3 linked regions of the Schizosaccharomyces pombe genome follow. Changing the gene in region 3 together with the main gene of any one other region gives a genetic interaction. Each region holds a gene or a part of one and is shown on either strand. Other genes may lie near its edges.

The links.
Region 1: mutations in caa1 (region 3) and mmb1 together harm fitness more than expected from each alone (negative genetic interaction), as found in Schizosaccharomyces pombe (one large-scale study listed by BioGRID).
Region 2: mutations in caa1 (region 3) and tif302 together harm fitness more than expected from each alone (negative genetic interaction), as found in Schizosaccharomyces pombe (one large-scale study listed by BioGRID).

Annotation. Positions count from the first base shown.
Region 1 is NC_003423.3:2,608,127-2,612,486, forward strand, and holds mmb1 (mitochondrial microtubule binder Mmb1), read right to left. Parts: upstream 2,515-4,360; 5' UTR 2,418-2,514; coding exon 912-2,417; 3' UTR 562-911; downstream 1-561. Other genes in the region: BTB/POZ family ubiquitin-type ligase substrate adaptor Btb2, read right to left, coding at 182-244; SPOM_SPBC25B2.08 (uncharacterized protein), read left to right, coding at 4,083-4,360. UniProt on the Schizosaccharomyces pombe protein: Involved in the cell polarity process and in regulation of microtubule growth. Has a role in meiosis. Involved in microtubule dynamics.
Region 2 is NC_003424.3:4,308,601-4,313,622, forward strand, and holds tif302 (translation initiation factor eIF3b (p84)), read left to right. Parts: upstream 1-1,960; 5' UTR 1,961-1,978; coding exon 1,979-4,156; 3' UTR 4,157-4,461; downstream 4,462-5,022. Other genes in the region: kinesin-5 family plus-end directed microtubule motor, bimC subfamily Cut7, read right to left, coding at 1-1,376; pan1 (actin cortical patch component protein PanI), read right to left, coding at 4,621-5,022.
Region 3 is NC_003424.3:1,230,115-1,233,634, forward strand, and holds caa1 (aspartate aminotransferase), read right to left. Parts: upstream 1,926-3,520; 5' UTR 1,904-1,925; coding exon 674-1,903; 3' UTR 526-673; downstream 1-525. Other genes in the region: SPOM_SPAC10F6.14C (ABC1 kinase family protein), read right to left, coding at 2,202-3,520. UniProt on the Schizosaccharomyces pombe protein: Plays a key role in amino acid metabolism.

The DNA of each region.
Region 1 (4,360 bases), on a different chromosome or scaffold from region 3:
CTTTGAAGGAGAGGTAAAATATTCAGACTTTTTTTGTTTGGAAATCGTTAAACAAAACATGAACGATTTAACAATAAATCCAAAATAATTAACTACGCAAACAACCATTAATTTGAGAGTAAAGTTCATACAAGAACTGAGACTCAAGGTACGCAGAAGTTCAAATAGCAAAAATACTTACTGAAGATACCGGTTTCATTATAGAGGGCTCTTGAGAAATTTCCGTTGAGCTGTTCATTGACATGATTGTATTAAAGCCACATCCGTTAGGAGTAATAAAAAGAAATCAGAATGAAACTCGTCAGTAATATTTAAAAAAAAGGTACTAAAATATTGTTTTGGTTTCCTAAGGAAAGCGCACTGGAGTAGCTCGATATTCTTGCAGTTATGAATCGTAACGTAATTGCGCTATCCAAAATATACCGTACAAGTTGCACAAATTAACCCTTCTATTTACTTAATTTTTTGCTAAATGAATTAGTAATGCAGCAATCTCATTTACTTCATAATGTCTTCAATTACTTACTGCTGATAGTTGATAGAGCACGAAAACAATGCCAGTTTGTTAATGTTAATTTATTACATATCGGTTGTATGCTGATGTTGCTGCATGCTGAATTTTAACACAGAGCGCATCCCTCTAAACTTCTCGACTATCATCAAGTCAGTCGTGAAGCTTTCAACTGAATAAACCTATGCAACATAATTTCAGCTTAAAAGCTATTAATTAGCTGATCTTAAGTAATACAAAGTAATATATCAAATCGTAACATCCAATTCTTCCCGTATGGTTTGTCTTATTTTTAATAATAATATCCTTATGATAAAACATCTACATGTGATATAAATTATGCAGAATAATAAGTGTAAATGGAACAGAAGCCATCAAATTACAGCAGCTCACTCAACTTTTATATCATTCTGTTAAGGTCCAAAGGTGACGAATGAGAAGAGTGATTAGTATCGTTAATTTCGGAAGTTTGGTTTTGAAGATAAGAAGGATCATGATGAACGACTGTCGAAGACTCTACCAAAGTAGGCGAATTCTGAATTTCTTTGGTTGTAGCCAATGTTTTAGTGGAAAAGGATGAAGAAGTTAGTGAATGGGCATGCCTGTGTAAAATTGAACTGCTTGGTCTCTCATGAATTGTTGCACGCGAGCGAGATGGAGCCAAAATGCGCAAGTTTGAAGGAGGGCGTTGATTTATTGACGAAGGAGGGCGACGGTTGATTGATGAAGAAGGACGAACGATATTAGCCGCTTTAGTACGAACATTGCCTGTAGTTGTCCTCGAAGAGAGAGTGGATTGAATGCGAGAAGGTGAACGAACACCTAAAGAAGTACCTGGACGAACGATTTTAGCTGATGAATTTTTCACATTAACTTCTCTCTGTTCTAATCTTGAGGGAGTACGCGCCTGCGCGTTACGTGAAACAGGTCGTACAGCTAATGAAGAAGCTACCCGAACAGTTGAGTTAGAAGTGGCAGAGACGTTGGGTCTTTGAGTATTGGACGCAGAGTTTTCTCTGAAGATTCTGGATCCCGGTCGGACAGTCTGAGCTGCACTTACAGGACGCACGATCTTGGTCGATGCGTTGACTTTTACTTTGGAAGGACTAGTAGAATTCTTTGAGATACTTCCGGAAGCATTTGTTACGTTAACTCTAGATAATGGACGGGTGGTGGAAGTCCTTGTGGGTGGACGAACGACAGAAGAATTTCCGAGAGAACGAACAGAAATTCGAGGAGAAGCTGAAGGCTTGTCGTTAGAGCCAGGAGATTTGACGACGGGGCTATCATCCGACTTTGCATTGAAGCCGACCTTTGGTGAGCGCACATTCGGGCCATTACCAAGGCGTGATGGTGAACGAACTGCCATTGAAGATTTCGCTCTCGGAATAGCAGCAATTCTAGCATTTGAGGACATTCGGGCGATAGACGACGTTGAAGGTTTTGTAATAGTAGCGACATGTTTAGAGGTCGTTACAGAAGGAGATTCCTTGGAAGAAATTGAATTCTCATGTAGTGATGCCTCTTTGGGAATGCGAGGTGCGTTATTTGATAACCTGGCCAAACTAGTCGAGGGTCGAAGACGTTGAGAGGGATTACGAATATTCCGAGCTTTGGCTCGTACATTATTAGTCTTTGAAGTAGGATTAGATATTTGGGTATTTCCTAATGACTGGCCTTGGGTAACCCGAGATTGAGAGGTAGGAACTGATGGTGAAGAAATGTTTACTTGCTGTAAAGAGGCACTTAATTTATCAATAGCCGAGGATTCCTCAGTATCCATTACAGAGTTCTCACCTCCATTATGAAGTTGTGAGGTGGTAGAATCCGTGAAAATCGACGTAGAATGCAGTTCCTTGAGAATATTCGATGTTTGCATTTGTAGTTGCTCCAGTCTTTGAAGCATATTAGACTCGGCCTCTGCCAAAGGCTCTTGGCTTGGTGAACCCGGCATTGGCAGAATAAAATTGAATAAGACTCGCAATCAACAACCCTGAATGCACAAAAGAGAAAGCCAAATACACTACACCGTTAGCTGGTATCGCCCAACACTAGGTAGCAATAACAAACTACGTCCTATATTGTTAGTGTATATATAACGAATTCTATTAATCCCCGTAAAACTCTTGCTACCTGATGCAAACAAATAAAATTACCTTCATAAGTGCTGCACTGTTTACATATTTTCTATCCAGCTGACCGATTCTTTTCAATATATGTATTCATTTGACCATAATAATTATCGTTAAATTGTGATTGCTATGAATATACTTTTCCGTTCCCTCCCAGATTTCTGTTCCCGTTGTTTTTCCAAAGCAAATCATTGATGGGAGAGAGCAATGTGAAAATTAAGATGCAAGTGTACAATGAGAATAACATGTACACATTGAGGAAACCCGCTATAACTCTTCTTCCACAGCATCATACCGATTCTACAAATCTCCCGTAGTGGTAAGTACTACGAAAAATGTTATAGTAGAAATATCATTTGAAGAGTTTGTTACCAACTTTTACGACTTTGGTATGTCGTTATTTGAATTAATAAAAGTGATAATGCTTTGTGTGCATTTTTGGGCAACTATCTAGTTTATTTGTTCATTCGGTTCATTCGTCTCCTATGTACCGAGGGAATGTCAAGGAGAGTGTTACTCCCAGTCACTGCTCAAGGTGTGCAAGTTACCTTCGGTTCCTTATTAAATTGACATCAAAGACGGTTTGCAAATGTTACCAGATATGGACGTATATATACATAGAATACCCCAATTAAGACTTTGAAATTCCGTCTTTCACTTTTTAGTCTATATCTATTGTTCAGACTAAACGCAGGCTTAACGCCTTGTCCTACTCCCTTCGCTTCATCTTGTGCTACTCTATTGATGAGTATTTATTAATTTTTCCGCTTTCTTTTGATTAATTCATTCAGCGGTTTGTTTTTGTTTTTCCATCCTTTGTTGTCTTTCATATCGTTTTATTTCGTTCCTTTTTTTTTAACTATCTCAATTGGGATAAGCTTTATTTTTCGTAATTGTAATAAGCTCTAAGAAAACGTTCCCTACTGTTTTACTTTTTTTTATTACTGTTCACTTTCTATTTCCTACTCACGGTTCTCTTGCTTTGCTTCCTTCGATAAAACTAAGCAAGTTTGATCCTTTATTTATTCAATTGTCGGCTTCTAAAACTTCGTCTGTTCGCATAATTTCATATCTCGTTAGGGTAACTTCTTTCGGACGGAACACTAAAGATTTCGTTTACTGATTATTTTCTGTTTACAGTCTGGACTTTATACCCATTTCTAAATAAATTAAACACCCGAAATATCACTACAACCCTATATCCCATTAATCCCTTGGCTATTTGGATTATCAAGCTTATTTATTATTCTCAGGTTTCTCTAATTTTGTGCATAATTCAAGTTTGAAAACATTTCGTGTAATTCAAAAAAAAAGTTTCCCTTTGTTACATATTTGTCGAATTATTTTCTCATTAAAACCTTTAATCCCATCACTTCACCTTTGATTGTGATTTGTTTCCATTTTACTTTTATTTTCTCTTTTTCTTAAAATTTATTACCATGCTTCCACATCAAAATTCCAGTTATACCCGTCAAGGCACTAATGATGCGCAGGCAAATGATATGCGCAGTCCATCGCAACTTCCTACTTCTGTCAACATTGAAGATCCCTCTAAGTTATGTATATCGAGTGAAAAATTAAATACCCCTATGCATAATCGTTCCCGTTCTGGTATTAAGAAACATACTTCTGTCAAGCGTTCTCGCTCCTTCAAACTATTTGATACACTTTTCTTTGGTATTCTAAGGCTCCGTAAGCAACGGATAAGGTCGGTTAA
Region 2 (5,022 bases), 3.1 Mb from region 3:
CCGTTCTTTTTACGGGTGGCATTAAGGTCATTTTTCAATCGTTCGATATCTAACACTAAGTCTTTTATAAGGACTTTTCGAAAGACAAGCTGATTATTTTGAGGCTTATTGCGTATACTTTTAGCACGAGCAGCATACTCCAAAGTAGAAATTGTTTCTTCCAAATTAGTATTAGTAGAAGATACGGTAACGATCATAGAGGTTTTAGTCTTTCCCCCCAAAGAATCCTGCAATAGGCGTGTAAGCTTGGACTCACGGTATGGAATATGGTGGGCCTTTTCCACTAATGCATTAATTACTCGGCCTAATGTTAATAGTGATTGATTGATCATTCCAGTTTCTCGAGCACGTTTGTTTTCAGCTCCAGAACGTCCAATGTTCTCGCTTCCAGCCAAATCAACCATATGAAGTTTGCTGGCGCGCAGCAAGTCATCAGAGTTATTATTTATGGTAAGTGAATTAGTTTCATCTGTCATTCCCGAAGATACCTTTCTATGCAGAGTTATCGTGAAGATTGAATGACTACGAGATGAAAGATCGTTACACTTTGTAGCAGCAACTTGACGCCGGTGAGAGCCTTCACGTAACAATCGCAACCCATCGCCAGCATTTTTTATATAACTTTCTTCAATACCAGTAATAACAACGTTCCCTCTCCGCGAAGTATCTTCAAAAACACGAGCTGGCTTTCGCAATTCTTCGGAAACCAAAAGATCGCGAATTTCCTCGTTGTAAAGTTCATAATAGGAGCATTTGACAGCATATTCTTGATTACTGTTGTCCAAGGAGGAAAATAATTGATAAAGGGCACGAGGAATAAGGCCTGCTCCTTCAGACAAAATTCCATCGGAATCGCTAAGATCACCAGACATAGTATATGTTTTACCGGTTCCAGTTTGTCCGTACGCAAATATAGTACAATTATAGCCGTTCAATACTTGCTCCAGCATGGGCGCTACCGAATTTTCGAATAGCATTAACTGGTCAGCTTCAGGACCAAAGACTTTATCAAAGGCATACGTCTTCGTGACCAACATGGATGAAGGATCCGACTGGATGGCCAATTCAGCACCCATAGCGCCCGAAGTCGATACAGCAAGGCTACTATTGTCGCGTACTTCTTGGTCTGTACGACCACGAACACGGACGACTACGTTAATATTGGTTTCGTTCTCATCATGAAGTGCATGATCTGTCGGAGAATTAGTGTCGGAGCGATCTGGGTACCCAGTGTCAATAGTAGGAGGCTCACGTCGTTTCCTAGGATTGCTCGCAGAGCGGAAATGTGAATTTGGAGTAGAAACCGGGTTTTTAGCTTTCAACCCCTGCTTTCCTAGAAATTGTTGTGAGCCACCAGGTGCAACTCTAGGGGCCATTCGGTTTTATGAGTAAGGATTGTTACAAAGAAAGCGACAAGGTTGTTAATTTAAATTGCAATTCTGTTGTAAAGTTCAATAAACCACAATATAAAAAAAAGGGGTAAATTTAAAATAGGAAAAGATCGTAAACGTCTGTTTTTAGGGGTAAAAAGAATGAATAAATTGGACAATTGTCGCTCCTGAGTATGTTGTTGAATTGTTGTAAACAAGAACGAGGACTCAGACACGGTAACACTTGGAATGTCTCATTCCAATGTTTTGCAGTACAAATCAACAGTATAAAAAGAGAAAAAAGAACTTTTATGAAAAATCCAACAATTGTGCTAATACTAAAAATCAATACAAAATGAACGAACTTGGCAGATAAACTGTTGTCAGTAATGATAATAGTCAAAATCGGTAGAATGAGTTAAAATCTAAAAAAGAAGAAATATAAAACAGAATCAACTTTATTAGTTTATTTTAAATGATACCATGTTTTTTAAATTCTACTTTTCATTACTTTCAATTTTTTTTAAATTTCTCTAAAGTTACTCTTCGATGTCCCCCCAGTCACTGGGTGAAGAAACTTGACTAGAGACAACGGCACTACACCAGAAATGTCGGAAATCCTAATTGAGGAAATTAAGGATCAAATCGTCGTAAAGGACGAGGAAATCGATGTTTCTGAACTGGAAGTTAAGCTTAATGTAACTAAACCTGTTGGATATGACACGGTTGTAGTAATCGAAGGTGCTCCAGTTGTCGAAGAAGCTAAGCAGCAAGATTTCTTCCGTTTTTTGAGCTCAAAAGTCCTTGCTAAAATTGGAAAGGTTAAGGAAAATGGATTTTATATGCCATTTGAGGAAAAAAATGGAAAAAAGATGTCTCTTGGACTAGTTTTCGCCGATTTTGAAAATGTTGATGGCGCCGATCTTTGCGTTCAAGAGTTGGATGGAAAGCAAATTTTAAAAAACCATACTTTCGTTGTTCGTAAGTTGAATCAACTCGAAAAAGCTTTTAGCACTCCTGATGAATTTAGTTTCGAAGAACGTGAATTTAAGGAGCGCGAACATTTGCGTAGCTGGTTAACTGATTACTATGGTCGTGATCAATTTATCAGCTATTACGGTAACCGTGTATCTGTTAACTGGAACCGTAAGAGCGACGTCCCTGAACAGATTGTGGATCGTGAAAACTGGACCGAGACCTACGTGCAATGGTCTCCCATGGGCACTTACCTCGTATCACTTCATCTTCGTGGTATTCAATTATGGGGTGGGGAATCTTGGGGAATGTGTGCTCGTTTCTTGCACCCCTACGTAAAATTTGTCGACTTCAGCCCTAACGAGAAGTATCTTGTTTCATGGTCCTATGAGCCTGTTCGACTTCCTCCCATCGGACATCCGGCTCGTGAAACAATGCCTTTCACTGATGATGATGAAGGAAAACATTGCTTCGTTTGGGATATTGCCTCTGGTCGTATTCTTCGTTCTTTTAAGATTCCTCCTCAACCAGAAGGTTCAAAGGATGGCAAAAAAGTTATTTGGCCTATTTTCAAGTGGTCTGCCGATGATAAATACCTTGCTCGCGTTACTGTTGGTCAGTCGATTTCTGTTTATGAGACACCCTCCCTTGCTTTGGTTGACAAGAAAACTATCAAGATCGACGGTGTGCAAAATTTTGAATGGTGCCCAGTTTCAGATGCTCTCGGACGTGATTCCAAGGAGCAGCTTTTAGCTTACTGGACCCCTGAAATTACCAATCAACCTGCTCGCGTTGCCTTAATTAGTATTCCTTCAAAATCAACTATCCGTACGAAAAATCTTTTCAATGTTTCCGACTGTAAGTTGTACTGGCAGTCTAATGGTGATTATTTATGTGTTAAGGTTGATCGTCACACAAAAACTAAGAAATCAACATTCTCTAACCTTGAAATATTCCGAATTCGTGAGAAAAATATTCCCGTTGAAGTAGTGGATCTTAAGGATGTTGTTCTCAATTTTGCCTGGGAACCTAAGAGTGATCGTTTTGCCATAATTTCAGCTAATGATCAAGTTTTAAATTCTACAAATGTAAAAACTAATTTATCGTTTTATGGTTTTGAGCAGAAAAAGAACACCCCTAGTACTTTCCGTCATATCATTACTTTTGATAAGAAAACATGCAATTCACTTTTTATGGCGCCTAAGGGTAGATTTATGGTTGCTGCAACCCTTGGTTCCTCTACTCAATATGATTTGGAGTTTTACGACTTAGATTTTGATACCGAAAAGAAAGAACCGGATGCTCTTGCCAATGTTCAGCAAATAGGTTCTGCCGAGCACTTTGGTATGACTGAGCTGGAGTGGGATCCTAGTGGTCGATATGTTACTACTAGCAGTACTATTTGGAGGCATAAGCTTGAGAACGGTTACAGACTTTGCGATTTTAGGGGCACACTTCTTCGTGAAGAAATGATTGGAGAATTTAAGCAGTTTATCTGGCGTCCGAGACCTCCTTCTCCATTGACAAAGGAAGACATGAAGAAAATTAGAAAGAAACTTAAGGATTATAATCGTTTGTTTGATGAAGAGGATATCGCCGAACAGAGTTCCGCCAATCGTGAATTGGCAGCCCGTAGAAGACAGCTCATTAGTGAGTGGCAGAAATATAGGGATGAGGTTATTGCTCGGGTTGCGGAAGAACGTGCAATCACTGGCCAACCTGCTATCACTGTTCCTGCTGAAGAAGAAGAAATAATTCAGGAAACGGTTGAGGAAGTAATCTCTGAAGAGATAGAACCCGTTGAAGATTAAGGGCTTTACGCTACCTTTTGTCATAAAAAAATTGGGGCCTTCTTCGAAATCGGATGTTACTTGATTAAAATCATGATCTTGTTGCCGCAATTATGTGTTCCTGGACGTGTATTTGCGTTTCGATTGGTACTGTATGGGGAAATTTATATTTACATTAGTCCTTTTAAATGGAATTGCATTTGCGTTACATACTACTGTATATAAGTAATATAGCGTTCTTAATAGTTTTGTGAATGTCCGAGTATTATTTGACTCAAGAAAGTTTCTAAATTCATATTGTCTTAATGCACTCTAGAGATTTAAACATAAACATTTTATTGGTAAATAAAGTATAAACAAGCCAATTTAAAGAGATAATTGATAGCTGCAGAATGAGAAAATATATCATTCATAAAGAGCGCATAAAAATTAGAAACACTACAAAAACTCAACGTTTGATATGAGTACAAACAAAAGTTAAGCCACTAAGACAAATTCCCATACCAAGCGGATGAATTGCCGTCAGAAGCGTCTAAAACTCGTCCTGCTATGGGCTTGCTTTTATCCGTCGTAACCGTTTTTTTCAACCGAGTGCCAGTATGAATTTGTTGAAGTAAAGCACTACGATCTCCTGGATTGGGAACAGAAGGAGCCGATGAAGCAGGAAGAGGTGGTGGTGGAGCAGACGGTGGACCGGCAGGCATTGGCGGTGCAGATGGAGGTGGTGGTACTGACATAGGAGGAGGTGGTGGTGTTGGAGCAGACATTTGAGGTGGTGCCGCCGATTGAGGTCTTACAGGAGGTGTTGAAACAGGATGAGCAGGAGCCATACCACCGAATAATTTGGCGGCTAAGGCAGCTGCATCTTTACTTGAACGTATGTCATC
Region 3 (3,520 bases):
AAATTTATCGAGAAGAATTATTGAGTCAAAATGTCCTAACAAACTAACTCATACACATTTAGAGATGTTATAATTATTAATTATTGGAGGAAAGACACGAGAAGAAATAAAATTTATGCAAAGAGGGATATTCCTTGCTTTAGCCTGGTTTTCGAGTTATTAGGATATTTTCAAAATTTCCTGCTTAAAATTATAGTTGACACAATAGGGAAGTAAAACAAAGAAAATCATACTCATATTGTATTACTTAAGTTTTGACTTCTTTTCTTTGTATTGGCTCTAATAGTTGCTAAAAGTTGTATTATATTAATGTAGTAAACCTCGATATAACAAAGAATTCAAATACTCTGTCATTAATCAATTTGCAAGTTATGAATTATTAAAAAAGAACTCTTTCTCAGTTTTGTCTAAACATATCCGATTACAAACTGATATCAACTTGTTTTGCAAATAATGAGCCAAATACTGATGTCTAACTCACAAAGGAGAAGTCCCGGTGTATGAGTTGAACAGATAACTTCATATTATTCAAAAATTCAAAGAATAAATGCATATACTAGTTCTCTAAATTGCTAAAGAATTTGTTCCTAAATTCGTCAAATTTACAACAATCCAAAATTCTGTATTCATGAATCCAATACTTATCTATGTGACTTTGGTATTAATAATCAGTTTAAGGCAACTCGCGAACAGCATGGTTAAATGCCTGTGCAACATGCTCTACATTAGAATTGTTCAAACCAGCCATAGAAATACGACCATTTGCACTGAAATAAAGATGGTACCGCTCCTGGCAAAATTGGACTTGTGCAGGCGTTAAACCGGTAAAAGAAAACATTCCAATTTGTTGTGTAATATGATCCCAAGAACCGGGGGTTTTGAGTGCAACAAGAGAATCGCGAAGACGTTTCCTCATCTCAATGATTCTAGAAGACATAGTCTTTAAATCTTGTTCCCATTCAGCAAACAATTGAGGACTGTTAAGAATTTCGGCAGCAATACGTGCACCGTAAGCGGGAGGGTTAGAAATGGTGTTACGTTGAACAATACACAATTGAGATAAGACCTTGTTTTTAGTGGAAGCGTCCTTTGCAACGTAATGCATGCAACCAGTACGTTCACCATAAAGACCCATATTTTTAGCAAATGACTGACAAACGAAAAAGTCCTTGTTATATTTGACAAACTCGTTTAGAGCCCAAGAGTCACGATTCAGATCACCACTGGCAAAACCTTGATAAGCAATGTCAAAAACTACCAGATGCTTGCGAGAAAGCAGACTCTCGAATATAGAAAGCCATTGTTCCCTAGTGGGGTCAATACCAGTAGGATTGTGAGCACAAGCATGAAGTAAAAATATACTTCCTTCGGGAGCAGATTTAATGGTACTTAGCATGCCTTCGTAATCAAAAGATCTATTCTTGGCATCCCAATAAGGATATGTATCTACAGTGACTCCCAATTTTTCCCACAAAGTGCGATGGACAGGCCAAGTAGGGTTGGAGATGTATACATGGGCTCCAGTGTGCTTTACATAGAAAGTCTCAATGAAACTAGCAGCAAGAAAATTGGCACCAGTACCAGAGACTGACTGCATAGATGCAACACGGTCCTCGGACAATAAATGAGGATTGGGTCTGAAAAGAACTTCAGCCGCAGCCTTAGTGAAACGAGGCAATCCAGCAATTGGTAAATATTCATGGTTGAAGCTTGCCTGTTCTTCCACTATTTTAGATGCTTTTTTAACTGCAGGCAAAATCCAAGGCTTACCAGTATCGTCACGATAGGCGCCAACACTCATGTTAACCTTCTTGGGATCTTCATCCTGATGGTATTGAGCATTTAATTTAAAAATTGCATCTGCCTTAGCTTCCTCAATATTTGCAAACCCGTAGTCTGACATTGTGGTTAAATATGCGGTAGGTAGATTTCAACCTTACTGATCTACTATATATATATATTTATCACTCGGTTTAGTATCACTATATTATCAGTATACTTCATTGACATATAAGATACCGAGCTTGATGTACTGTAATAGTGAATAACGATACAAAGTTTGACTCGTATAGGGAGGAGCTTAACTTTTACAAGGAGGAGCTCTGAAGTGTCTTATCGAGAAAAGTAGGCAATATGTGAAGTTATATTATTATGGTCAAAGATTGGCTTTCCATAAAGAAAAGTAATCTTTACTATAAATATCATTTTTTATCATTAGTAAGTTCAGGCAACCGAAAATTTCCAGGGTAAAATAAATGTTGAAAGACCCAAAAAATAGGCGACAACAGCCGTTGATACCAAGTTGGACTAGGTTTGTCGGTAGTGTATTTATCAGCAACCTTGGCCATAACAGCTATACTATTCACTGGATACCCAAAATTTTGGTTATTTTTTTGAATAAGCATTAAGCAGCGACCTAGCATTAACAGCTCTTTCGGTAAACGAGTGCAGTCCTGTAAGAAGCCAATGAACTTTTTGCGTTCAGCAAGCTGCTGTTGGAAGGCCTCTTTCTTTGAAATAATTTTTTCACCAGTGTGAGGTTGCTCTTCATCCATTGGAATATTTAACATGCGGTTAGCAAAAAGCTCAGGTTGTCCAATCCCCCAAGCATCCATTACCTGAAGAATAGATTTTTTGTCTAATGAATAGGCTGCAGTGAAAAGCAAGGCAAATTCTTTTCTAAACTTTTCTGATTCAAATACATATAACCCATGATCCAAAATTACCGTTTGACACAAGCCTGCTTGATTTTTTCGAACAAGGATATTTCCAGGATGTGGATCACAATGAACTTGTTTCGAATGAAACATTTGGAAGGCAAGGAATCTGAAAAGGTTCGTTAAAATTTCCTTTTTGCTCATCCCAGCTTCAGAAAGAGCAGTTTGATCATAGAGGGGAATGCCATCAGCCCATTCAGTAACCATTACTCGCTTTCCAGAAATCTCTTTATAAACCTTTGGTATATATATCTTATCTCTTAAATAATCAGTTTCTTCTACCCCTTCACGAGCATGTTCCGAATTGTTAGCTTCAGTTGTAAAATCAACCTCAGAACGTAATCTTTCCGAGACATAATCAACCGTAAAGTAGAGAGGGATATGAAATATCCATTTATCATAAACATACATCATGTATTTGTACACGAGAAGATCCCACGACATTTGCTTAGCAACATCTGGTTTTTGAATTTTTACCGCGACCTTTTCACCGCTAGGTAAAACAGCACGATGTACCTGCGCAATACTGGCACTTGCAGCAGCACGTTTCTCAATGCTGGCAAATACTTCCTCTACTGGTCTTCCATATTGCTCTTTGAATATGTCTTGAAGTTCTTCCCATTCAACTTGAGGTGCATTGTCAAACATTCCCTGAAAGGCTTTCCCATACGCTTCAGGCAAATTATTTGATTGCATAGCAATGATTTGACCCATCTTGATGTATAAACCGCCATTTTTGTAAATCGTTTTAAACAGTCTCTGTGCTACTCTTTGGTGCAAAGCATCAATTTTGTCTGCCTTTT